7 linked regions of the Coturnix japonica genome follow. The protein of the gene in region 6 interacts with the protein of the main gene of each other region in a pairwise test. Links are inferred from orthologs where the notes say so. Each region holds a gene or a part of one and is shown on either strand. Other genes may lie near its edges. The genes, in order: DTNB, SMC3, PPP4R1, TXLNB, integrator complex subunit 6-like, CEP63 and SMARCE1.

The links.
Region 1: the proteins of CEP63 (region 6) and DTNB interact in binary tests that used the Homo sapiens proteins (3 or more experiments, as listed by UniProt). The two-hybrid records come from large-scale screens. The link is inferred for Coturnix japonica from reciprocal best matches to the Homo sapiens genes CEP63 and DTNB.
Region 2: the proteins of CEP63 (region 6) and SMC3 interact in a two-hybrid assay, tested with the Homo sapiens proteins (2 studies listed by BioGRID and IntAct). The link is inferred for Coturnix japonica from reciprocal best matches to the Homo sapiens genes CEP63 and SMC3.
Region 3: the proteins of CEP63 (region 6) and PPP4R1 interact in a two-hybrid assay, tested with the Homo sapiens proteins (2 studies listed by BioGRID and IntAct). The link is inferred for Coturnix japonica from reciprocal best matches to the Homo sapiens genes CEP63 and PPP4R1.
Region 4: the proteins of CEP63 (region 6) and TXLNB interact in binary tests that used the Homo sapiens proteins (3 or more experiments, as listed by UniProt). The two-hybrid records come from large-scale screens. The link is inferred for Coturnix japonica from reciprocal best matches to the Homo sapiens genes CEP63 and TXLNB.
Region 5: the proteins of CEP63 (region 6) and integrator complex subunit 6-like interact in a two-hybrid assay, tested with the Homo sapiens proteins (2 studies listed by BioGRID and IntAct). The link is inferred for Coturnix japonica from reciprocal best matches to the Homo sapiens genes CEP63 and INTS6L.
Region 7: the proteins of CEP63 (region 6) and SMARCE1 interact in binary tests that used the Homo sapiens proteins (3 or more experiments, as listed by UniProt). The two-hybrid records come from large-scale screens. The link is inferred for Coturnix japonica from reciprocal best matches to the Homo sapiens genes CEP63 and SMARCE1.

The regions. Positions count from the first base shown.
Region 1 is NC_029518.1:95,642,749-95,646,700, forward strand, and holds the start of DTNB (dystrobrevin beta), read right to left. Parts: upstream 2,801-3,952; 5' UTR 2,742-2,800; exon of another isoform or gene 2,678-2,741; intron 2,352-2,677; 5' UTR 2,283-2,351; intron 740-2,282; exon of another isoform or gene 721-739; intron 1-720.
Region 2 is NC_029521.1:22,934,301-22,938,276, reverse strand, and holds the start of SMC3 (structural maintenance of chromosomes protein 3), read right to left. Parts: upstream 2,801-3,976; 5' UTR 2,600-2,800; coding exon 2,585-2,599; intron 572-2,584; coding exon 496-571; intron 1-495. UniProt on the Homo sapiens protein: Central component of cohesin, a complex required for chromosome cohesion during the cell cycle. The cohesin complex may form a large proteinaceous ring within which sister chromatids can be trapped.
Region 3 is NC_029517.1:88,765,711-88,769,210, reverse strand, and holds part of PPP4R1 (serine/threonine-protein phosphatase 4 regulatory subunit 1), read right to left. Parts: intron 1,668-3,500; coding exon 1,525-1,667; intron 412-1,524; coding exon 265-411; intron 1-264. UniProt on the Homo sapiens protein: Regulatory subunit of serine/threonine-protein phosphatase 4. May play a role in regulation of cell division in renal glomeruli. The PPP4C-PPP4R1 PP4 complex may play a role in dephosphorylation and regulation of HDAC3.
Region 4 is NC_029518.1:48,823,892-48,827,888, reverse strand, and holds the start of TXLNB (beta-taxilin), read right to left. Parts: upstream 2,801-3,997; 5' UTR 2,599-2,800; intron 1-2,598. UniProt on the Homo sapiens protein: Promotes motor nerve regeneration. May be involved in intracellular vesicle traffic.
Region 5 is NC_029519.1:4,023,480-4,026,979, reverse strand, and holds part of integrator complex subunit 6-like, read right to left. Parts: intron 3,414-3,500; coding exon 3,264-3,413; intron 2,594-3,263; coding exon 2,504-2,593; intron 2,195-2,503; coding exon 2,011-2,194; intron 1,225-2,010; coding exon 1,096-1,224; intron 1-1,095.
Region 6 is NC_029524.1:2,647,865-2,651,364, forward strand, and holds part of CEP63 (centrosomal protein of 63 kDa), read left to right. Parts: intron 1-1,823; coding exon 1,824-1,949; intron 1,950-2,818; coding exon 2,819-2,932; intron 2,933-3,500. UniProt on the Homo sapiens protein: Required for normal spindle assembly.
Region 7 is NC_029542.1:4,157,577-4,161,814, forward strand, and holds the start of SMARCE1 (SWI/SNF-related matrix-associated actin-dependent regulator of chromatin subfamily E member 1), read right to left. Parts: upstream 2,801-4,238; 5' UTR 2,683-2,800; intron 2,583-2,682; exon of another isoform or gene 2,564-2,582; intron 2,305-2,563; 5' UTR 2,261-2,304; coding exon 2,254-2,260; intron 1,713-2,253; coding exon 1,669-1,712; intron 1-1,668. UniProt on the Homo sapiens protein: Involved in transcriptional activation and repression of select genes by chromatin remodeling (alteration of DNA-nucleosome topology).

The sequences.
Region 1 (3,952 bases), on a different chromosome or scaffold from region 6:
CCCTGCACATAACAGGGGGGCTGAAATCAGATGATCATTGTGGTCCTTTTCAACCCAGGCCATTCTGTAATTAATTCTATGATTCTTTACTTCACTACACCTCTTACCAGGAAAAAGGAAGAGCTCTAGTAGTTATTTCATGGGCATACATTTAACAGGTTTAATGTCCCTTCCAACCCAAACCATTCAATGGAAACCCAAGGACAGAAAAAGAAGAGCCACTCACACTAACAGACCACCAACGCCTTCTTTCAAAGCATATTTTACACAATTCTGATCATTCTTCTAGTTCAACTACAATTTCAGACTCAGTTCCCAACCCTAAATGGAATTAATTAAAGCATAAGTAATGGTGCACAGAAGTATTAAGAATGCTTTGATATGTTACCTCAATATCTACACCAACCTGACAACAGAGCATCCATGAGGAACCGCATACACCTCCCGGTTCTACGGATCCCAAACAAAGCTCCAATGTTTGCTTAAGAACTTCACAAGCCATAATGAATGGCAGTTTAAAAGAGCATCATCAAGAAACTCCAGATCAAGACCAAGCCTGTATTGAATTACATTGCAAAGTCACAAGTTAGCGTTTTTTTGGTGTTGCTTTTACATTTTGGGGGCTTTCCCTTGTGTTTGTTAATTTTCTTTTAAACACAGTGGATCAGGAGCTGCTTCTAAAGAAGGTTTTGTAAAAAGCACACAGATATGATACAGCACCTTTCCTTCCCTGCAGGCATTCAAGGCCAGGCTGGATGTGGCTCTGGGCAGCCTGGTCTGATGGTTGGTGACCCTGCACACAGCAGGGGGAACTGGATGATCACTGTGGTCCTTTTCAACCCAGGCCATTCTATGATTCATTCCATGACTGCAAGAGAGCCACGAAGCTAAGCTTAGGCACAAGTTATCAGCAGGAGCCTATCTAAACACTAAACCAAATGTGCACCTTACAATCATGATTTCTCCACTTTGGCACTGAGAGAAAAACCCGAAACATAACTCAACATAAATGTTACAAATTTAAGTCCTTATCACCAAATCTCACCACCCCAAAAGCACAAAGTTAAAGAGCAGCAGTGATAAGGCTAAGAAAAGCAGGCTGCTTTCTATACCACTCACAACTGTTATTTATGCTGGTACTGACAAATAATGTGACGAACGAGAGGGCTAAGCTGGAACTGCCCTACAGCAATTAATTCTTTCCATCTTCTCCAGTTGCTTGTCAGCAACAACACCCTTTTACCCAAACTCTCCACTAATCTAAAATATCCTTTGGAAACACAGAAAGCAACAGCCTCAAACAGACAATTCTGGGTTACCTCTATTCCTTCGAGTGCACTTTGTAATATCAGCTGGCAGTACAGGATCACACACACTTACCAATGAAAGGCAGGAGGACAAATAAAAACCAACCCAAGTAATTCTTCAGGCCAACGTTTCTCACATTTCCCAACGTGGAAATGAGAATTTTAACTTCTTTTTTTTTTTTTTTGCCTGGAAAGCCACAGCAGCCAACAGCAGAACAAGGAAGCTGACGCACTGCACACTCAGTTTCAGGAACGTGAATAAGAAAACTGAAAGTACAAAGCGTTTTTAAAGAGCAGCACTGCACAGCTGATGACCAAACTCAAGGCAGTGGCTCGAGTGTTATCAGAGCGTTCTCAAGCAGCACACAAACCATTGGCAAAGGGCTCCCCAGCCTATCTAGGGCTTAACAATCACTTATGAATAAGAGGAGCGCTGCACAGAATCACAGAATTGTAGGGGTTGGAAGGGACCTCTAGAGATCATCGAGTCCAACCCCCCTGCCAAAGCAGCTCCCTACACCATGTCACACAGGTAGGCGTCCAGGCGAGTCTTAAATATCTCCAGAGAAGGAGACTCCACCACCTCCCTGTGCAGCCTGTTCCAGTGCTCCGTCACCCTCACTGTATAAAGGAACTTCCTATGTTGTACTTTCATCCCATTACCCCTAGTCCTATCCCCACGCACTACTGAAAAGAGACCAGCCTCACCACTATGACATATACATATATAGCACTATGGCTCTCCAGGTCCATCAGGTTGCCTAGAGAGGTGCTGGATATCCCTGCACACAGCCAAGGTCAGGCTGGATGGGCTGTGAGCACTGATGGAGCTGTGTGTCCCTGCTCAGTGGGACAGGTGGTCTTTAAGGTTCCCTTCCAACCCTAAGGATGCTCTGTTGACCATGAACCCACAGACACAGCCTGTTTAGCTCCGTGCACATCAGCCCAGCCACAGTTACCTGGATGCCACATTACCTGGATGGCACACGGAGCCTCTCAGGGCAGCAGCCACCTCAACTCCTTCTGCCAACATCGAAGGACGACCTGAAAAACAACCAACCACACGAGAAAAGAAAAAAAAAGAAAGAGCCACTATGACAAACAGCCGGTTATCGGCCCCGTTCAGCTCAAGCTAAGACCCAACTTCATGCTGCACCCTTAGCGGGAGGCTCCACGTCGGTACACGGACGGGCTGCCCATGTCACGGCCTGGAGGGCCCAGCACTCCCAGCACCGAGCTTGGGACGGGTCTCCTTCCTCAGCCCCACGCCGCCCTCCCCGTTTCTCGGCTCTCGGAGCCCGCCGCTATTAGCGCAGCCCAATACATAGACAATCCGACCGGTCCCATTGATGCCCGCAGCCCCCACACACCATAACCGTGTTGGCCGCCCCGCCCCGCTCCGCCCGGGCCGCATCCACCGCCGCTCCGCCTCACCGTCCCCACTCCAACGGTCCCCGGCCGCCTCACGGCGCGCAGCCAATCGCAAAGCGTCTCCGCGGGGGCGCGCACCCTCCGGCCAATCCCACCCCGCCCTCTGCCTCCGAGAGCCAATGGCTGAGCGAGCCCTCGTGCCTCGCCCCGCCTCCTCACCTCCACAGCCAATCGGCGAGCGGACGCTTCTCCGGCGGCGGACGTGCGTGAGCTCGCCCCGCCCCTCCTCGGGAGCGCTCGTGCTCTCCAGCCAATCAACAGCCGGCGGGGCTTCGCGCGCTCCCGTCTCCTGCGCAGGCGCAGTGGGCGGTCAGCGCCTCTCCTCAGGGCGATGAGGGGACGTCGAGATGGCGGTAGTGAAGCTTCAACCCCCTCCACATCTAATACCAGCCCAGGCTGCTCAGGGCCACATCCAACCTGGCCATGAACACCCTCAAGGATGGACGGAGCATCCACAGCCTCATTGAGCAGCTGTTCCAGCACCTCATCGCTCTCACAGTAAATAACTTCCCCCTGACATCCAACCTCAACCTCCCCTCTTTGAGTTCTCTCTCAGTAACACTTTAATTCAGCCCACTGTTATGTTTTCCTTTTACCCAACTGGGATGCTGTGTAAAACAATTCTACCTCTTCTCATCCAGCGCTGCTGCCTGCCCTGTGCCCCCACTGCATTGGAGCCATCCGCATCTGAATGGAATTACAAGAGCAAAACACCTCCTGGGACTCAGCTTCAGCACAGCTGCCATTTAAAGAGCTGTGGTTTGGCCCAGCTTCAGGGGGAGGTCAGCAAAGGGTCTCGGTAAGTGTGAAGGGAGACGGCAAACCCAAATTTAGCAGCAGGGAAGAAGAAATAAAAGCAGAAAAATAAAGCCTTGGGGTTGGTTAGGTGTTGTAGGGAGAAGTGGAGGACTTGGAATAACTCAGTGTATTTTTCAATTAATCTGAAGTAAAAGGAGATATTTTCCAACAGGCTGTGTATGGGTTTTCATGTGCCTGTGTTCTTTTTCTTTCTTTTCCCATAGTGATGCAAGAATACTAAAAGAACCACAAAGAAACCACAGAGACCCAAGGAAAGGGAGCAGCCCGAGCTCCCCAGCTGTGAGGTCTCACCAGCACTGAGGCAGCAAAGTCATTCCAAGGACAAACCTCTCCTCAGTGATGAATGGTGCAAAATATGGCGCAGATTGGAGCCGCTGGCTGTCGGAAAGGTGAAG
Region 2 (3,976 bases), on a different chromosome or scaffold from region 6:
TAAAGGCTCAGTGTCTCATCTTTAAGACCAATATTGACTGTATAAGTTCAGAACAGCTTCCCTTCTAGCAATGAAACATCCAAGGCTTTTCATGTTCTCTGCATCAATCATTGCTACCGTATTGCCTCCAAAGCCCTTCAGCTTCACTCATCCCCTCACATATCTGAGATTATCAGGAGTTACTTCAAAAAGCCCAGTCTCTTAAATGAGGACTGTCCAGTATGGACATCTATACATACAAAGGTGCTCACAGTTCACTTCTCACTCAGTTCCTATGGAATCACTCTGAGGTCACAGTAAAAATGAACACTAGATTGCTTTGCCATAAACATGCTGTAATATGCCTTGTAAAATTAACAGACAACTGTAAAAAAGCTTCCAGTGCAGAAATTACAAAGTAATCAAACATAGGAAGAATATAAACAGTTAAGGACTCATTTGACCATGATCTGATGCAATTTTAATTAGTGTGAAAAAACAGATATTGGAACTCACCAATGACATTGTGTTTTGAGCTGAATGGATCCACAATGGTTTGGTCTCGGTAGCTTCGAAAGCCCTGAATGATTACCTATGGAGTAAAGCGACAGAATTACCTCTGCTCTTAAGCACTTTTTAAACCTCAAGATATTACACAACATTCACATCACTTATGATACAGAATCACAGAATGACCCGGGTTGGAAGGGACCTCAAGGATCATGTAGTTCCAACCCCCCTGCCTGGCAGGGCCACCAAACATACACATTTACTAGATCAGGTTGCCCAGGGCCCCGTCCAACCTGGCCTTGAACACCTCCAAGACCACTTGATACACTTGATGTCTTTTCCCTAATCCTGTCAGCTCTCAAGCTCAAGACCAGTATCTTGTATTATGAGACTTGGCCTCCACCTAAGCATCATTTTATGAACTGAGATTTTTTCTCTCTGCTCAAAAAAGATACTGGCACATATCTAGGTCAAAGCAAGACCTAGGAGCAAGACAGACTTGTTTTTTCTTTAGGCTGCACAGTAACACAAAGAAAGTGAAAGGCAGAAATATTGGTTCTGTTGAATTTGCTTCCTAAACAAACATATACAACCTACACAATGAATTTAGCTAAAGAGCTACACAGCAAACACTAGTCTATAAGTACAACTATCCAATTTTAGTCTAGAATGACTGTATCTGAATACTTTAGTTCCATGCAGCAGCAAAACTGATCCGGCTTCCAGCACAGCTCAGCATTAATCAGCCCTTTTCAATCATCAAAGCTGTGCTGAAAGGACTCTGCATCAGCTTTCCTCAATCTGACATATATAACAATGTGACATCTGAATAACAGCCGCCTGAAAAGCTGCAGATCTTTTAGGAAGACCACTTCAAAATGGACTAGAACTGACATTCAGTCCCTGTGCCCTTCCTTAGCATTTCACCACCAGAAGATCTTGTTAAAACCTCACTGACGTTTCACCATCAAAACTAACGTAAAAAGGAAGAATTAGCAACTAGGAAGAAAACAAAACATGTTATGAGATTTCTTAACAGTGTAAGTTTAGAAAGCAAAATGAAACTCTGGACCTGCACTGTATTCAGGTCTAGATATAAGGTAACCATACTGGAAGTAATCAAGGATATTAGTATTTAATGGATCAAAGTATAGAACACAAGTTTGGGACCGTGTACTGGCTGATGACTGCTCAAACACTGTGGCTGTTCACAGAAGATCTGACGCCTGACCCTATAAGTACTGGCTGGCTCCATCTACCAGATGGGAGATCCTCACAGTAACAGTAAGCTCTGCCTTGGTACCAATGGCTTTCAAAAAGTCTGTAGGGCTTTTTCTTATCTGAAGTACTGCAACATGCATCATATATTAAACATGCATCTGAACCAGTGACACAGGTGTACTAAAACAGTACCAAAAGGCATCTGCAAACGCTCCCGTGTCGACAAACAACTGATGAAAACCTGATCTCCATGAAGAATGTGTGCTTCCAAACATAGTCTGAAGCATTATACGCAATGGGTGTCAGAAGGCCTAATTAATTTTGAGTGCAGAGAGAAGTAAGAATCCTAGCAGGCTTCAGATGAACGTACAGAGATAGCAGTAAGAACGAGGACAAAAACTTCGACGGCGATGTGCAGCATATATAACTAGTGCAGGGATACGCTAACAGCAACAATAATGCGAGTCACAGCCTTAAAAACTGTTAGGAGAAGGCCCACACAAGGACTTCATTTATCTGAACATCAGCTGCTGGGTGCTTGTCAGGGACGAAGCGCACAGCTGGAATGGTCAGTGCTCGGCGGGCCAGGCTCCACCCCAGCACCAACAGCACAGTGTCCAGGCCGGCCGTGCCCTGCAGGGCCGGGACACTGTGGTCGCCCCGTCCGAAGGTCCCCAGGGCCCGCAGCGCAGCCCTCGCTCCACCACCACGCACCGCAATGAATGGAAACGGCCGACGGAGCACGGGACCGCCGCCCAAGGGCCCCGCGAGCACCCGAGCAGAGGCCGCAAGGCCCCGCCACGCGCCTCCCCTCCGGGCCGGGCCCGTTCTATCTCCGGAGCGGGGCAGGCCGCAGCAGGCCCCTCCGCCGTACCTGCTTGATGTACATGGCTGCCGAGGATGGGGGAGGGAGGCAGCCGCCCCGCCGCCTCCTGCTGCCGTCTCGCAGCCCACCCGGACCGCCTCCTCCCGGTACGACGGCTCCGAGCGACTCCGGGCCCCCGTTGCCGCCTCCTCCCGCCCCGTCCGGCCGCCACACAGAGCTCGGCGCGGAGCCCCGCTCACCCCTCACGAAACAAAATGGCGGCGGAGCCACCCCTGCCCGTCCCGGCGCGAACCACTCGGCACAGTGCGGAGGGGGAGAGCGGAGAAGAGATCTCACCCCACCCTGGCCGGAGAAGGCGCCAGGCAGTAGACACTAAAAATATCGCCTTTTTTATCAGATTTCAATATCTCTTTAGCTTTTTAAGGAGCTCTAAGGCGAAGCAGCCGTCCGAAACCGCCCGTCCTCACCTACCGAATCCCCCCAGAGAGCGCGGAAATGTGGTTTCTCCCGCTGGGGGGCGGGTTGGGCGCCAAAGGCAAGTGTGAGCAGAGCGGGGCCGCAACGCCGACAGGGAGGAGTGCAGCCTCCCGCCTGCAGGGGGCGCTGCCACGGTCGGGGCCGCCTCAGAATCACAGAGTGACCCGGGTTGGAAGGGACCTCAAGGATCATGTAGTTCCAACCCCCTGCCTGGCAGGGCCACCAAACATACACCTTTACTAGATCAGGTTGCCCAGGGCCCCGTCCAACCTGGTCTTGAACACCTCCAAGGACGGGGCATCCACAACCTCCCTGGGCAGCCTGTTCCAGGGCCTAACCACTCTCCTAGTGAAGAACTTTCCCCTAACATCCAACCTAAATCTTCCCTCTTTTAACTTAAAACCATTTCCCCGTGTCCTGCTATTGTCAGCCCTTTCGAAGAGTTTACTCCCCTCCTGGGAGTAAGTTCCCTTCAGGTATTGAAAGGCTGCAATGAGGTCACCCCGCAACCTTCTCTTCTCCAGGCTGAACAAACCCAACTCCCTCAGCCTGTCCTCATAGGGGAGGTGCTCCAGCCCCCTGATCATCTTCCTGTCCCTCCTCTGGACCCTTTCCAAAATCTCCATGTCTTTTTTGTACTGAGGGCTCCACACCTGGACGCCGTTTAGGACATCCTTTGCCCAAAAGCTCATTGCAAACATGTGAAAAAAGCCATATGCATTTCTTAGACTGAGCTCTATATCACTATACCTGATAGAAGGCAGAGACATGCGGGTAAACCTGCAAGAAGGACTTAGAAAGAAATCCAGGTTCACTCAAGCTGCAAAAGGCTTCTTGCATGAGCAGAGCCACAACAGCAAAGATCTGCTTTGTAGCAGCAGAGCTGTAACATTCTCTGCAGGAGAAAGGAGCTTTGATGAGGAAAAAACAGCTCCCTGCTACAATCCTTTTATGTGTACTGTA
Region 3 (3,500 bases), on a different chromosome or scaffold from region 6:
TTCATAAACCAATGAAAATTAATCTCCTCCTGTGCTGGTTTGTCCAAATGTTTTTTTTTTTCATCGCCTATATAACGTATTGATTTTAAACCTAGCCTTGAGTGTAAGATGGCAGAAAAAGTTATGGATTAGTTATGGAGAGCAATATACATTTTTCTCCCTAATACCACATTGATGCACATCTTGGAAACACAATAGAATCACTGCAACACCAACAATTCAAGAGACCATTATACCCTCTAGTTTGAGACTGCCATTACTTACAGCCACGGCTTCGGTCTTCACGTCATCATTGCTGTCTGGTGCTGTCAGGTCTATCAGGACAGGGCATACTTTGGTCTCCACGTCGTATCTCTCTATGAGTTCTTGCTCCAGCAGAACTAACAATGCTGCCTGGCTTGTTTTTCTTACCTATTGTAACAAGACAAAAATCCAATCATCAAGGAGTATAAGGAGGTAAGGTGGGTCTTTGTTTTTCTTTCTTGAAGTAGGTCCAAGTATTTTGGGAGCTATAGCTACATACTGCTATGCATCTATATTCAAGGTGCTTGGAGAGAGAGGATAAGGTCTCCAAAAGTGCTCTGCAAACGCGTCATGATTTAAACACAGCATCAGGCCCCAGAACTCTGCTTACTGTAAACTAATGAATGCTATTATAGTAAGTGTCCACCTATGTATGTACCAAGTCAGGACTGCTATGTCAAAAGGAAACAGAACAAGAAGTCACGGAAGAGAAGCAACACAGCTAACTGGGAGTAACAAAGTTCTACAGCATACGAGTTTTGTTAAACAAACCCTCTTCTTACCAAGTTTGTCTGACAGTGGATAACTGCATTTATTCCATCTAGCAAAAGACTACATAAAAATCTGAGAACCTTTTTTAATTGACTTAATATGTATTTAACTACTGACACCCAAAAATAAATTTCATGGAGGTAATAATCACCAAATGGAATTACTTCTAGGGGAATTAGCTCTCAGTGCTCTTCAGTAGCTTTATATCTAGTACTGACAAATGTAACACCATACACTTGCTAGCATCTGGAAAAAATACAGTTACTGATAAAAGCCTGCAAATGATTCAGCAATCACCAGAATCAACCGGAATGATCCAGATCATTTGAAAACATGGGCTTATTTATCTTGCATGAACTTAACACTTGCGAATGCAAGGTCATGTATGTCAGAAGAGAAAACATTACATAAAGTGACAGGTTATCTACTGCAATGCAGCAATTACAAGACCTTTCGAGGTCTTTGTTTCAGAGCAAATCAGCCAAATGAGCTATGGAGTTATCACCAGAGGTTAGGAAGACGAACAGTTGTGGAATCTGTGAACAAGAGAATATCAAGCAGATACTACTTTCTTTAGTAAATTCAGAATGCAATGCATTTCAAGTCATTTTAAATATTTTTCACTCTAAAATATTATATTCTTAAATCAGCCTAAATTATTTAACTTGAAAAGCCTCACACAGTGGAAATATCCAACTAGTTAATAAACTGTTTCTGTAAGACACTCACCTGGTTATTCTGGTCTGCAAGGTACCGTACCACAATAGGTAGTAAGTACTTGGAAAAAGCATATGGGATGGAAGGTCTGTTTTCTTGACAAAACATAGCAATATGAGGCACCTGTTCCATTAGTTCTGCTCGCACTGTAGGCTCTGCCAGAGTCAAAATAAAACAAAACAAAAAAGACACTGTAAATGTTAGCAAACACGCTGTCAAAATACGCTTTTTTACGTTCTTGTACTTAGAAACTGTGTGCTCAAGTGGTCAAGTCAGTATGTCTACAGCAAGCTTCAATTTGATAAGCATCACCTTTATGCAAAACCAGGTGCAAGTACAATCTGTACTAATAAACTTCTACAAAAGACTTGGCCCACATTCCCAATTAGTAAAAGAAAAAACAAAAAGACCCACAACAACTGCAAGAGAGCAAGTCATCAAACACGCGTATCAGGATCCATCCAAATTCCCTACAAGTATCACCTACTTCCAAGAAAACTCCTAGGCAGAAAGTTAACCCAACTGCAACATGAAACAAACTGAGGGGAGCTCCTGTTCCTTTCAGGATTCGCTAAAGCTGCAGTTGCTATCAGAGAACTGATGACCTACAGAAAAAACATAATGAAAACCCAGCAGCTACTCTCAAGTGACAGTGATCAGATTTATAATATTTTAAATAATAAACTGTACACACGGCATGTGCCTTACTGAGCTTTACATAGGCAGGAACTGTTTAGGTAAAATTTAATGGCACAACAGAACCATCTTATGATATTTGGAATGAACACACGATGTCAGAACGATCACCTTTAACTAAATAGTAGCATGAGCTTTGTATTTAATGTGGATAATGCAAGCAGCCCTTAGCTTTCTTGAACACTAGTTAAAAGTGACAACTTCAGACTGAATAAAACAAAACACAGCAAGCACCACATCTCCTAGTTTGCTTTGTTTCTCTTCCTAAAGCAGTAATAGGAGCATATACAACAAAAGTCATCTTAGCTAAATCTTGGATGTTCTGAAATATGTGCAGGTTGAACTCCTTAAGCAAAATCTCTACACATATATGTGTAAGCTCATACTAAAGAAGTCAGATCATGAAGAAGACTACTCAAATACGTGCAAGTTTTAGTAAACTTCAATCAATGACTAAGAAATTTTAGCTTAATGAACATTCAATTCAACAGCTGGCCAAAATAAGCACCTGTAAATAGGACAGACTTTTAAGGAGATTGTTAATTTTGAAAGAAAAACTCGATATATCATATTAATACAAGGAAAAGAAAAAACTAGATTTGCTAAAAACATCTTTCCTTCCAAAAAAGCTTAGAGAAAAAACACATTACCACCATTGATTTATATTGATTTATTTTCTCTTTTTTAAGACTAGTTTGCTACTGAGAGCTTGCAGCACCAGCTAGTTTTGAAGTAGCCTAACACTTTGTATCCTAGTAACTCACCTTTCACTTACATAAAAATTGCCCAAATAGTCAACAGAACACAAGATATTGTAAGCTCCATCTCTTTGTTAGGATGAGCAGAGCAGCTGTTTTCAGGTCTGAAGTCAGCAAAATCATCCAATTTCATCCTATGACAAATTCTGGTCCTCTTAACTGATGAAACCTAGACTCTTCACTTCTGGCACAGAGAACTGTGCGAGAAGGGGAGTCCTTTTACATCAGAAAGTGTTTGCCCATTTATGAAACTGGCCCAGTGTGGCTGAGCTTAGGGCCTTCTATGCGCTCTCTGTATGCATCTTCCCAGTACCTGAGAGTACAGGAGATACCGACTGAAGAGTCCTTGCTGGCTGAGCACATTTTGAGATGAAGAAAGATACCACTACTGCAGATAGACCACATGCACCCCCTGACCCAAGAGCTCTTCTGAAATAGCTGATGAACCAACCTCAGAAGGATGTCGATGTCTGCAGATGAAGCCTGCCAGTCTTGCAAGCTCTATAACTCGCTGCCTAGCACCTTGACAAAGCA
Region 4 (3,997 bases), on a different chromosome or scaffold from region 6:
TGTTTACACAGGCAAGCAAACATTTTAGCATTTTCTTTCATTCTCCTTTAGGCTAAATCAGAGATCTGATAACTGCTTTCAGCACAAACACAATGTCTGTTAAGACTTAGCACCTTGTTTTGTGTAATGGATTCCACAGTGTGAGAGAGTTTATATTCAGGAAGACAGAGCAGCTCTCATCTTCTGAAAACAGCCTTTGGCGACGGGAAATTTTACTGCAGTAATTCCCAGTCCTGCTCTTGCTCCAACTTGTTTAACCTTGATATGCATCAGGAGTTCTGTCTTATCTGGCCATAAAAGACTTACAATGCCAATCCAACAAAATCCCAAGTATTTACATTACTGCTGTCTCAGACACAGTAATGTCTAAAAATTAGGTGGCTGATCCCAGAAGAGAAGTTCCTCAGCCCCTTAATTTCCAACAGACTGAGGCAAAGGAGACAGAGCCTGCTTTTTGACTCTGCCTCTTGACTTCTGTGACTCCTACAGCTATCACTGTCTTCACACACACAGGGATTTTCTATAGGGCCTTAGCTTATTTTATGGTGAGGGGTAGGACTGACCAGTCATTTGATTGACTCTGAGTGTTTGGTCTTGTTTACTTTTTTCCTCCTACACTTCCAAACCCTGTACTTGCCCCACAACTCTGAGATCAGTATCTCTCTCAGCCCTACCTTTTTGCACGCAATTTTGATTCCAGACAGTCATAGTTGCTCCCTACAGATATTCCCTACAGACTGAGAAAATAGTACAGCCATACAATGCTGTTTCTACATCAGCCTTGCAGTTTTTAGCTCTGTGTCTGCTTGAGATAGCCAGTCTAAATTTCAAGCCCAGACCCTAGGTGTGTGTGTATGTTTCACTTTGATTCTGAGTGTAAGTCTGAAACCCTAAGTTTGTCTTCATCATCAGCAAAGTTAGAGAAAACCATGCTGGAGTCTGTGGGGACAGCATTGCAAGTCATGGCTGGGAGGAGGTGTTGGCAATGCAGCTCTTGGTTGCTTAGCCAGGAAGACCCAGGACCTAGCTGTAGTGATGGTCTTCCACCACTAGGAAGCATCCTGAGAGCCTACTGCCTCCCTATGCTGACTGTGGCAGAGCTTCTCCTTTCCTCTCCTCCCTCAGTAAACACTCAGCAAGCACATCCCAAGAGAAGGACGGACCTCCTTTGAACACTGCCCCAGCCTTGGATGAGAGGTGACTGATGCCAGGCACAGGCTGATGCCTTTCTGTAGGAGGACTCCTGTCCAGACCTGCTGTCCTGCAGTGAGACTGGTGCCTGGGGTTGATGCAATCAGCATGTTGGGTGAGAGAGCACACAAATGCGGCAAACACGCAACATAACCAGAGGCAACAGAAAAGAAGTGTGCAAGTTCAGTTAGATAATGTACTGAGTTGGTTTAGATCTGACCGTATCCCTTAGTATTTCACATATATGGCACTATCTGCATTCACTCTGCTTAGACATCTGTCAGTGCTTCCGAAGCAAAAGGTTGGCAAAGCAAAAACTCATGAGCTGTGTTGTTGCTGCTGGACAAACCACCCCACACAGTGCCCTGTGCCAGCCCTCCTTGTGCTGCTGGGGTGGAGGTGCTGCTGTAACTGGAAGCACAAACTGAGCATAAAACACAGGTCTTGAGCTTGGGCTTGCATGCTGTCACAATTTATTACTATTATTATTATTTTGAACAGAACTCTTACCATTCCTTCTCACAGGAATTTCTTTGTCCTTCCCTTCTTGCAGTCTGAACTTCTGGAGGGTTTACTAATTCGCCTATATTTAGCACCTGCCTCCCCATGGGTCCAACAGAAAGACACATGGCACCTGCTCTGCAGCCAGGAGTTATTTTAAGCACTTCTAAAACGGGGAATAGTATTTCACACTTTTTGCTCAAAATTCACATACTCGCACATACAAGTTCCCTAAAACAAAGTGTTCTATATAATTACACCAGGCAGCATATGCCAATAAAACCTAAAGCTTCACTTCAGCATATCACCATACTAAACTACATAACACCTCCCAGCAGCAAACATTAAACCCTGAAATGGCCAGCAGTGGTGTAGATCCAATTACCCTCTAGAAATATAGAAGTGCCTTCTTATAGCCTGAAGGCTGTTCTATATATTACTTCAGAACGCTATGACAAAATCAGCTTTATCAACTATGTGCTGCAGCTGAATGGTGTTGTGATTTATGCATGATTTTCTAGCACAAAATCGAACAAATCTGGCTGTTTGGTGGCACGTCTTCTTACAGGCATGGATAGAGCCTGGACCCAGAGACTTTCTGATGTCTCCTGTCTTGTCTTTCATGTGGTACCTGAGTCTTCATCAGTTTTTGTTGTCACAGCCATAGCCTCTATTTGCACCCAAAAGCCAGCTCTCCCAAGTCAGCTTACATTTTTTTGATCATTCAAGCATTTCATCCTTTCACCAATGGGCTTCCATGCTCTCCTGTTTTCCTCACATGCCACACAGTGCCCAGGCTTTCCAGTGGGGAAAGTGGGCTGACTGTCTCAAAGGGAAGCACTTAGATTAAAGTCCTTGTGCCATGCCACCAGCAGTAACAGCAGGGAAGCTCTTTGTCAGACTTACCAGAGCAAAGAGAAGTGCAGGCAGAAGTCAGGTAGAAAGCTCAAACCAGGGCACAACAGCAGCAGAACACCGGATTATAATCCTGCCACCAAGAAGATCAAGTAAGGGGGAAGGAGAGAGTGACACAGCAGGAACAACCACTGCAGAGCCCAAATGCGCACTATGCAGGGGACTGGCTGTGATAGGCGAGCAGGGAGGCTGCCTGCTAGTTGGCAGCATAACCCAACTATGTTGGCTATTCCCTTCTCTGACAGAGATAGCACGAGAGGTCAGTGACTCAGGCCCTTAGAAAGAAGAGATACAGGAAGGATTCAAATACAGCTGCTACTCTTGAAAGCTAAGTCTTAGTCTATCAAGGATTTGATGTGTTGTGCTCTGTGAAACTTATCTTTATTAAACATGGACTGATCAAACTCTAAGTCTTCTGTCTACACCAGGAAGACTAGGGTGGCTTTCCACAGTGTGAGCTCACACCTGTGACTGCCCTTTGCAGTCTGGTCTGGATTTGTTATAAACCTGATTCCTGGTCATAGACTCACAGGAGGACCACTGGATGTCTCTTGCCTTTTGCTCATAGCAAGCTTAGCTATGAGCTGAGACCAGGTCTCTCAAGACCTGTATTAAGTATTAGCATTAAGAGACTGGGCAACCTGTCCTGCTGCTTGGCTGTCCTCAAGGTGAAAACGTTTCTCCTCACATCTGGGTTGAACCTCCTTTCAGCTTCCTGTCCTCCCACCTACACCCCTATGGAAAGCCTCTATCTGTCTTCTTGTTAATCTCATAGGTACTGCGGGCTGCAGTTTGGAGTTCTCAAAGCTCTCCCTTCTCCATCCCACCTTCCTTAGTCACAACATGGGGCAAATAATCCAACCCCAGCCACCACAGTGTCCCTCTGGTGAATGGACTCATTTCTGCGACTGGAATGCTAGGAGAGATGGCTGGTGTAGTCTTCTCTTTGAGTCAAGGAGCTCTCAAATAAATGTTTTTGTTGCTGCCAAGGTAACTTGCCTGACCTACTTTCTTCATGATACCGTGCAGGCTCACTCCGGCCTGAAGTTGTTTGTATAAATAGGCAAGCACTCCTCAGGGAGTTCAGCTGCATGCTGTTTATCCAGCGACCAGCATCTCCCACTGCTGTGGCCCACAAGTCACTCAGGCAGCATCTCAAGATGCCAGATGGCCTAAGGACCATCTGCTGCTTACTCCCTAGGGAGAGATGTAGGTCAGTTTAATGCACAAAAATGCAAGCAACTGGGAAGCAATAGACTGGTGCTGGAAGTGGCAGGCAGTGCTATGAGAAGAGAAATAGGACTTCAGCTCCAGTGGAAAATAATAAGCCTCGGAGCAAAAATAGGAGGAAAAATAAGTATATACTAAAAAAATTTGGAGTAATTTCTTA
Region 5 (3,500 bases), on a different chromosome or scaffold from region 6:
ATTTCTCTCTAGATGAGAACTTCCTCAATTTATGTGAAGGCTCTCAGCATCTTCACGCATATGTAGTCACAGCACATCACCACTTAAAACGTGACAAAAGGAAAAAAAAAAAACAATTTCACCAGCTGTTTTGCCACAGGAGAGTATTTGGGCTAATAGAGACCCAAGAAAATAATAAGTGCTGAGGTGCTGTCCTGCATGGCCCTACAGGAAAGCCTTGAGCATACGTCCAATCAAATGATATTTATTAAGCAAAAGGAGAAAAAAAAAAATGTATAAAGCAAGAAAAAAGTGATTAAAACCAAGTAATGAAAACAAAGTTAAAAACAGGCTATGCTAGGATGCTCGGGGGTCCTAAAAGCTATTACGCTTCTGTCATTCCAGGAACATCCTTATTTTCTAAGTACAAACTGGTCACAGCTCTCTCCTTTCCAGCCATGAATTCTGCAAAGCTAAAAGCCTGTTCCATGTTAAGAATGCATCTTCCTATTTGGTCGTGTACTTCACTTGCAGCTGACAGATCAATTCCCTTGTTCTTAGCACAGACTTTTTCACTTGCAGCAAGGAACATTCAAGCGTTTGTGATCAGTTATCAGAATGACTCGAATAGACCTCAATTCATTTCATTTATACACAAGTTTTGACAGCACTAATTCAAACCTTATCACTTTCATTAAATACTCACTTCCCTCTGCTGCTTCCTTCAGCCTCCAAAAAAAGAGGTGAAGAAAGTGGCAGGAGAGCTGGCAAGCAGGAAGGTTATCCATTCAAATCCATACAAACATACAGCACTTTCTCAACTCACCAAGGACCAAACTAGTACTGGGAACAATATTGTAAAGACAAAACTAAGTAAACACAATTCAAGTTATATAAAGTACATTCATTGTGATCTGGGGTATTGAAAGAGAAACCAGAGCTCTCTCACAAAAGCTTTATAGTTTAATCACTTTTTTTAGATCATATCAGGCCTCAGATAAATCCTGTACACAACAGTGAAAAGTCAGTAGGAAGGAAACTGAAGACACTTAAGGACATCTGCATGCACACAAAAGGCTTTTTTTAAAGCATCAGCAGAAAAAATGGTTACTGTACCTTCTCCAATAGGAGCTGGATCCGGTCCTGACTTTTCAAAGTTAATAACAACCCCACTTTGGACTTTCTGAACTAGAGATTCTAAACACTGATTCAACATTCTTTGTGTCCGAACACAGTAAGAACGACCTACACAAGAAAACATTAAGATTACTCAAAGCTTTCCTATTATCCCTGTGTAAATTGAGGAAGGTATTTTGTTATATCAAGTCACGTTGCCAAGGCTTTCAGCTTTATCAAAAATAACAGCAGCAAGCTTAGTAGAAATTGATGCAAAATGCTTTACAAATGCAATAAAAACAAAGGAAAAAAAACAGCTCAGATTTTTCTTCATAAGAAAAGCCATCAAGGCTAAATCAGGCTGGACTAAGACCAAGTTTATAAAGGCCCTCAACAAGTTCTGATTTCGTGAAGTCTGCATAATCCATCTGCTTTTGCCTATCCAAATCTAATCAACTCCAACACAAACCTGAACCTCCCCACCCATACAACACTTTTTCAAGAACCAACCTAACAAAAACTCTGAGTAAGATCTTTAAGATCAAAATCCACAATTAATTATTTTAAGATTCTATTTTAGCTTATCAGCCATTCAGCAGAATTATTGTCCCAGTAACACCTCTTCCTTCTCAACTCAACATTTATGCTTGTAAATAATGAATCTTGTAAGTGAGCAAAGCCAGCCCCTGGGAGGACAATAAAAGACATTTTCAGTCCTTCCTACACTGGTGCACAACATGGCTTTCTTTAACAGCTCTCCTGTGCTACAGGAAACTAAGTTCAAAAAGCACCACAAAGACTCAGGAGGACACTGAGTAATTCTGAGCGAGAGAAAAGCTAAAGCAAAAGTGAATCAAATGACATGTTTTAAGGCAAATGTCAAATGTAAACCAAAGCAAAGTAATATCCAGGTACCTCCTGTAACTTCGCACATCTGTGTGATAGCAGATTCATCTGTAGGCACACTCCCAAGCTGCTCTGGTTCAACAGATGCAGCTCCTGGCAAACGCAGCACTAGAGCAAACAGTCTTTGATCCCAACGAAATGGTTCTTTGGTTAGTTCACTTCCAGGCAAAGGAGAATTCAAAGGAAGATGAAGCTGGTAAAGAAACATTTAAGAAAGTTTTCAATATCTGACAAGACATCTGAAGACATAATACCTATTTCTCTGTAAAGGACCCCATTTTTCTTCTCTCCACTAGTTTAACTGAAGTTACAGTCCGGAAATCCACATGGGCTATGAATTTAGGGGCTGAGCAATGACAGCACACCCAGTTTCCCTGCTTTGTAGAACAGGCTGATGAAACAGAAGCGCACTTTGCAGGGGAAAAAAAGCACAATAAATATTCACCTTAACACAGCACCAAATTTTAAGATCATAACTTGAAATAATTTACTGTCAGTTTACCTCCTCTTGAACTCCAGCCGTGTTCGTCAGCTTGTTTCCATCTGTGATGGTAATCAAAATAGATGGCTCAAGAAAAAATGGATTCCTTCCCTAGAGACAAAAGCACAGGACACTCAGCTGTAGACTAATATTTTTGTCATCATGAAATAAGCAATATAATGAACAACTTATCAAACCAGAAGTTCTCTTTCAGCAGGCACAGAGCCATGCAGAACTACTGACAAAGTGCATGTGCACAGTCAGTCACTGAACACATTGTTAGAATTACTTGCCTATTTTTTTCCAGTAATAACTTCAAAGTTTTCTATTCCACAAATATATGATACATAACAACTCAGTGACATCATTATTGCACGACGACAGTGGGGCAAAAACTGAATATTTTTTAACTAAATCTTCCAAATGTGAGAAAGGAGAAAGACAGAATGTGAACTGCAGATAAAATAAAACTGAAATTTGCTGCCATCCAGCGTACAGGCTCTAATGCAGCAATTGTCCAACTACAGACTAAGTTATTTGTACTACTACTTTGGAGTCCAATAACAACAAAAAAATGGTATGATAATGGTATCTCATGGTATGATCACAACATGCAATAAGAAAGAAGATCAAATCTATTGAGTTTTAACATACAATTACCCAACAGAACGCTGAAAAATAGGGGAATAAAACCCCAAAAATATACTTAAACCATCAAAATCCCTCCCCAGTATAATTTAGAAACGCAGAGAAAGAGGAAGACTAGAGACAAATGGATTACCTGTCCATAGTTGTCTATTCCAGACACTAATCTATTGAGATTTAATAAATCAAAAGCTGTTCTTAGGGACTGGCCAAGAGTTGTAAGTCCTTCAGCCTGAAGGTTTTTCAGTTCATTCATGAACGTTGCATGATTTTCTTTCCATCCAGCCTGTAGGATAAAACAACAAAAGTTCTTTAAGTCTTGATTTTGCAACAGGCTTGAATCAGCTGTGAGTTGTCATTAATCCCGCTTTCT
Region 6 (3,500 bases):
GCAATTTCCATGAGTTAAACATCTGCAGAGTTTTAGTGCAAAATCTTCCTGTATTTGCCAATCATAGTCACCACAGCCCTCATATGGAAGTTGCTATGGGTACAGGCAGCAGCAGTTTGCTCCTTCAGCACTTCCTTAAATTAAAATGGGTGGTGGTGGAACCGGCCTTGATTGTATGGAGAAACTGAGATCAGATCAGTACGCAGCCTCATCATCATTTTGCTTCCACTGAGTCTGATTTTATTTGACGGGACCTGTGTTCTCTCAAACCATATCAGTTTGCAAGAAGTGATTTCAGAGCTTCCATCTCGACAAGCTCCTTGTTCAATGCAGGGTGGTACACACACAGTGTCCTGCAGGTGGAACAGCAGCATTCCATGTTGGTGCCTTTGTTCTGCCTGTCTCCACTTGCTTGTCAGAAGCATTGAGTTAAGTGGCATGAGCAGCCAGCAGAGCACTGACCTTTTCTCCCCGGAGAGTTCAGCTTGGTTGATGCTCACTGTGAGCCATAACTTAAATTAATTTGGTAGCCTCAGCTTTGGTGACAGAAGGCATCTGTCCTCATTTACAACACCTTACTGCTCAGTGTGATTAGCAGGAGATGTTCCAGCTGAAATAGTGGATAGGCTGCAGAGCAAGGCTAAGGTGCTTTGGCCAGATCAGGCTATATTGCAATGGCTAGAATATAGTGTGTGTCTTGTGGTTAAAACTGCACTGCACTGGTGTTTTACCCATGTAGATGGCATTAAGCTGCAGTGTTCCTTAGTCTGTTTTAGTACTGTTTGGGTAGATAGATTTTATCTCAGTTTACCACCATCACCAGTAAAATTACAGGTACAGTGTCCACCTCATGGAGGTTGCTGAAAGGATAAACCAGTGCTTGGAATCTGCTGACTCATTTGGCAAAACACATTCTCAATGAATGTGCTTAAGCACCTTCCTGACTCAGGACCCTGGAGAACCTTTCCTGACCACTGTGTGGATCCGAATCATGGGGTCTTGATTCAGATATAAGTTCTCCATGGGTTCCCAAATCGGGAATGATGTCTTCTGAGGTTCATAGGGACCATTTGGAAACTTGTTTAAATGCTTGAGTTGGGGAGCTCATCAGATGGAGAAATCTGTGCAAGTTGCGAGTGGTGATTTGCACAGAGGGTCACTTAAATGTCAGCAGTTTTCTCCTCACTTTTGCTTCTGATAAGAGTTCAGCATTCAAGCAGTAGGCGTAGGAGTGTTATTTTCTGTTGGCATTTTCCAGTTATTGTGAAGTACGTCGTGTATCTGAGCAGAGGATGACAGATGAAGTAGTGTTGATGTTATGTATAATGGCAGTTCTCTAATCTTCCTCCTCCTGCCGAGCGGGAGAGTTCCACTCCTCACCTGAGCTTCACTTTAACCTCTAAGAATGTAGAACTGTCCCTGTGGTTGGCACCAGGAGATGGACCTCAGGTTCTTCTGCTGTTACAGAGTCCTGGGGCTGCCTGTAGAGAGAGGAGGTGCCATGTTAACAGCTACATATAGACCTCCATCTGATCGATATTTCAGTCATGCTCTCATTGTGATAAGACAGAGGTCTAATTGGAGCTGCTGATGTCACGACTTAAGCGTGGCATCCTGCTCCTCTTATACCACTCAGCGTATTTTGTGATCCTATCAGTATAATAGGCTCATTATACAAATAGAAATCTTCATTTGCAAGCTGTGTGGCCTTGATTGGGGGAATTGTTTGCGTGAAGCTATTTTGTTTGCCTTCCTTCAATGTGCTATTTAATTCCTGCCCGCTGGCCTTGAACAAAGTTGCCCCTCTTGCTGAATTCTTGCAGTTGGCCAGGCTGAAGAGAAGCTACGAGAAGCTGCAGAAGAAACAGCTGAGAGAGGCAAGAGAAGAAGCCAACAAGAGGCAAGGGGATGACCAGGTTGAAATGAGCCGACTGAGCAGGAAGCTGGAGGTGGGCCATGGGGAAGCAGCTGCTAATTGGTTCTTATGGATGAACTGCCTTTCGGGCTTCACTGGTGACTCTATTCAGACAACTAGGAAGGGCACTGTGAATCCTGGTTCAGATGTACTCTCCATCTACTCTCTTAATGAAGCTCTTCTCGATTGCTTGTGTAATAAAGACTGTTTCCTGCACCGAGGCCTCTAAGTACGCAGGGTAAACTATTTTGAAGATCTTATTCTGCAGTTGAGTAAAAGGAAGAAAGTGCTGGAAGAGTAATTAATTGTGTGAGTGAAATGAAAGCCCGTGTGGTGAGGTTGTCATCTCACTTCTTGGAGGGAGGAGGAGCTACAAATGAAACTTCTTCTCAGCCATGTCTCAATCTCTGCTGTGCTGGGTTTTACCATGCTCTGCTTTTCCCCAGTGTACCCTCTAGACAAGGCTAACAGAGGCATGGATAAGATGTAGCATCCAATTGCTGGAGCTGAGGATAGCATTAGAGCTCTGCAGTTAGCGGTTGCCAACGATTCCAGGGAGGGCCTGTTTTGCAAGCTAAAGTCAGTCCGTGTTGCTAAACCTCTGACAGCAAATCCACGTGATGAGCTGTGAGCCTTTTAGCACTTAACGTTTGTAAACAGCAATAATTGACACTGATATTTTCAGCTGGGAGGGAGAGGGGAACGCAGCGAGCACAGTGTGAGAGGGGTTTTGTGCTGCTGAGTTGGTGCATCAGATGGCTGGTTAATGGTTTCCCTGCTGTGGGGGAAGGAGCGTGAGGATGTGGTGGGGAGGGAGAGAAAACATGGGTATGAGCTGGGAGGGGGCAAATCTTGTCAGCTGTGTGGATGTGTTGCTCTGAGCCAACCCTGCTGTCCTTGCAGGAGTTCCGTCAAAAATCACTTGACTGGGAGAAGCAGCGTTTGCTCTACCAGCAGCAGGTGGCATCTCTGGAAGCACAGAGGAAGGCTTTGGCTGAGCAGTCCGAGCTCATTCAGGTATGGTTAATACGTGTTGAAAGTTTCTGTTCTGTTGTGCAGCAGGTGGGAGGGCAGGGAGGGGGGAAGAGACTAATGAAATCTCTCAGGCTTGAATCCAGTTTAGGTTGCCATTGAAATGACTTTTAATGTCCCAGTGGAATAAGCTTTACGTGTCTGAGTGCTGAGTGGAAAAAAGATCCAGAGTCTGTCAACAGAAGTTAGGTAAACCTCTTGCTGCTCTCACTCCCCCGCTCCAATTAGCAGAGAAGACCGTAGGACGAAGCTTTCCCTGAGAGCCAGAGACCACAGCAAACGATGTTTGAAAGCAGCTGCTCCATCAGGTCGTTTAGTTTGAAGCTGTTTACCTGCCAATAGCTAAATATGTACCTTCTGCATCCAGCTCAGAGCATGGGGTTGAAAAGCAGCCTTCCCCAACGGCAGATACTTCCACCAAGTGAAGAAGAAACAACATTTTTCAGACCTGTTCCTTCCCTTTCTTTTTCATCTCCTACAGGCAAGGAATAGTGGGGTTGCTGTCCCTGAAAAGCTGGTCATGGGGTGAGTTAGTGGTGCTGCAGCAGAGCCA
Region 7 (4,238 bases), on a different chromosome or scaffold from region 6:
CAAAGCAGCGCGCAGTATGGGGGCAAAAATTCCCCAAGTCAACATTTACTACAACAGCAAAAATCTCTGCCTCCTCCTCTTGCCATCCTTCTGCCTCCTAACGAACACGATGTTGCCAGCAAACAGGGTAAAAAAACAACGTGAGTGTCTCAAAGCACCATCCGTGCAACAGTAGCAGGAGCAGAGGACTTCACTGGTGGTCTGCAGAATCAAAACACTCTGGAGAACTGTAAGGATTAGAAAAACCAAGAGAGGACGATGCACGGAGCTGCCGCTCTGTTAGGAGGCCGCTGGCTGACGGAGCTGAAGAACCGCTGCAATGCAATGTGCAGGTTAGAAACCACAAACTAATCTTAGGAACAACCAAACACATCTTTGTCCGATCTTGCAGGCGGATCAATTTGTTCTCACCTCCTGGAACATGGAGAAAATCTAATTTCCATGCACACAGATGTGGGTAAGCAGGGATGTAATCAAACACCACAAGGTTCACTGTCTCCCCTTGGTTGTCAGTCTCACTCCTGCACTTCAGCTACTCTCTTTTCTTTGTCCAGAATTCAGATGGTGTTGGAAATAAAGCAGACCAGCCAGGTAAGGGTGATGGAGCGCTGCACCAGCACTCACTGCAGCACCACGCCAGGTTCATGCGTTACCTGCACTGTCTCACACTGGAGTCCCACTTTGTTAAAACCCATTTCAGCAGTCTTTGAAAGCAATGTGCTCACTGTACCCATTCTACATCACGGCTATAAAAGCATCAACATGAACCTGGTTTTGTGTGCACTGCTGACAAAGTCATAGCTTGGCTAAAGGATGCACCACCTCAGTATTCACCCACACTGTGCCACAGGAGAGATCCGCTGCCATCACATTCCTCCTAAGAGCACAAATCTATTGAGCTGTGTGAAATGACACATGCTAAAGAGCATCCTTACTCGTTCATTTGTTCCACTCATTAATATTTTCTCCCATGAGTGCATTGCTTCCAAAACAAGAGCTGCCTTTGCTTTCAGCTGCTTTTCCAACCACAGCACGAGTATTTCAAGATACTTTTATACATGCAGGAATACAACTGGACATCACTGCCACGTTTTCTTAACTGGCATTCCATACCACTTTACTGTAAGTTAAGAGATTTGCCATGCAGCAGACCCCAAAATATCAGCATTTTCATGAAATCTGAGTACGATTACCAGCACGGAGGGTCTCCATTTTCTGACCAAATATAACAGAAATCTGCATCCCATTGAAAATGTGTCAGAAGCACAAAAACGTGCCCTGTTTTTGCTCATCATTTGTGTAAAAGTTGAGCAGGGAGTCTGAGAATGAACCGTATCGACTTGGCCTTCAATATTCCAGCATCCCAATGGGCAGCATTGGCTGCATGAGTTCAATGGCCACACAGGTAAATAATCCCAGTGACTGCTGATTAAAAAAGGGCCACATCCTGCAGATGTTTAAGATGAAACCAGTTTGTTCAGCTTCTTTTTTGCAAACTGTTCTGAAATTGGGATGACTTTAAACAAGGAATATCATACTAACAATGAAATACAACAAGCGTGCTTTTCCAACACAGGAAGGTGCTGCGTCTCCACTGTTACGGCTCTGGTAAGTCACTAACAGCTCTGCTACAGGATCTGTGTTAATGAGAAAAAGCACTGTACTTACGGTTGCAGGAGCTGGGGTAGGAGGTGGAGCATAAGATGGCCTTTCTGTTAAAATATAAACGTAAGCAAAGAAAATCCTTGAAAATGTGAATGAGTTCTTTAAGAGGCATCCATTGTGGCAAATGCTTTAATGGGATTTACTAAAAGACAGACCCAGCTCAAAGACTTTGGAGCACACAGCAAAGGAGAGACTAAAAAAAAAATCAAACCAAAACCCCACATCATTGCTACATTTCTGGTCTTTTATTTAGGCAGATGAAGGAACCTGAGATACGTTTACAGGCACATCGGTTAAGAAGAGGGTAAGGAAACAAAACAAAACAGGGAAGCAGGACTCAGCAGAAGCTGGGACAGATTTGCTGTGAGACCAAACGCTTGGACTGGGCTGCAGCAGCTCCTGAGAGCTCCAGGTGGGCACCAGGAACTGCTCCGTGCAGCCCGAGCTGCAGTGAGAGCTGACGGCACAGCAACAGACACCACGGGAACCAGGAACGGCTGCTCTGTGCACAAGGCCCACAGGCAGCGCCCCAGAGCCCGCGGAACCGGATCCGAAATTCACCAAAGGAAGAAAAGCCCGAAAACTTACTTGACATTTTGACAGGCAAATTTTCAGCCACCTGACGTTACATTCGTGTTTCTGAAAGACAAAAGAACAACCGTCCCATTAATGCCACCCCGCTCAGCCCAGCGGCCATTTCACGGCGCTTCTCCCGCAGGAACTTCACGTTCCTCCGCCGTTCGGTTCCGTTCGGTTCCGTTCGGTGCCGCTCGGTTCCGTTCGGTTCCAGCTCGTGGCTCCACACGGACCCTCACACACCGGCCCGGCCCGTGTAACCGCGGAGGCCGCGCCGCCGGGAAGAGGCCGCGAGCGGAGCCGCCCCGCGGGCAGCGCCCACCTGAGCCCCTCGGCACCGCGATGAGCCGCCAACCCGAGACCGGAACCGAGCCCAGAACCGAGCCCAGAACCGATCCCGGCACCGAGCCCCCCCGCCCGTCCCGCCCCGCACACACGCACCGCTCCGCAGCGCCGCTCCTTTGTTCCTGCCCGGGCCGAGCCGGCTGCGAACACCGCGCCTGCGCGCCCCGCTCCGCACTTTCGCCACGGCCTCCGCCCCGCTCCCTCCCGCGGGTGTCCGAGTAGCGCGGGGTTGATCCGTCCGTCCGCCCCGCTCACCTCGGAGCCGCTGTCAGACCGAGGGCCGCCCCGCGCCGCGAGGGGTGAGAAGGAAGAGCGGAAGGCGTTGTGGCGAATCTGCGGGGAGCGCTGCCTCACGGGGCTGGGGCGGAGGCGGCGCGCGGCGTTGCCGCGCTCTGGGGCCGCGTGAGGCGCGAGATGGAGCGTCGAGTGGCGGGAAAGGAGAACATGGCGGGAAAGGGAGAAAGCGGCTGTGAGTGACCATGAACTGCAGGAATAGTCTGTAATACACAGAGAACTGCAGGAATAGTGTCTATAATATACATAGAACTGCAGGAATAGTGTCTGTAATGCACATAGAACTGCAGGAATCGTCTGTAATGCACATAGACAGGGCTTGTGTGACACCAGAGGGGATAGAAGGGAGAGGAAGCTGGCTGTGATACCACAGCGCGGCCTGCTCTGCTCTGAAGTAACGACACGGACATGGACAGATGGAGATTTCCATTCAATAACACAGGGAATATAATGATGGGAAGATCCGCCAGCAGCCAGACCTGCACCTTGGGGTCCGACAGCGGCACCTGGGCACAACGTCCTTAAGGAGGAGGTAAGAAAATACTTAGAGGTGAAAAGTAACCCTGGTTTGGCTTGGGTTTGACCACATTCATTACATTGTGTTGTACGTTGCATTCAGTTGTGCTTGGTGTCGATAGCATTAAACATGCACAAGTCGCTGCAGTGTTCAGTGCAGTTCCATACTGATCATTCTGGATCGTTATTTATTGTTTCCTTTGCTTTAGTTGGTTGGTTTTTCTATTTATTTCTCATTTCTGTTTGCCTGTGCTCCGTTTCCATGTTACTCTATGTGCTCTTACTGCTGTACAAGGTTTGTTTATAGCGGGTTGTTCAGGTCAGGAGCCCTGAACATGTTTAATGATCATAAACCAGCTTTTGTTTGTGCTCTCTGCCACCCAGTCCCCCTCAGGACGGACACACAAAGCTCAGGTTTTATTGTTTTTATTGTTGTACCGCTATTTACTTTGGTAAGTTTGTATCCCTGTTTAAAGTGCCTCAAAGCGATTAAAACTTAGTTTAAATTCAAGTATTGTAAAACATACAGAGTATAGCACACGAAAAAAGCTGCATAGTGAAAATGCCAGGAGAGGCCGTTACATTCAGGATGCCAACTACTCAGGTATTAACAACACCGCATCAGTTTTAAGGTTAATGATAATTAGCCAGCTTTATACAGTAGACAGAGAACCGTGGGCAATGGAACCACTGCGCTGTTGTTGCTGTTGATAAAGGCCAGAAGCGAAACTGAACGGTGCGAGACGTCGTGGTTCCCATCTGTAACATGTGCCTTAATTCCTATGACACTCACTGACACTGCAGTTGGTTCTTTCCTGCTGCTTTGGATCCCACAGGTTCTG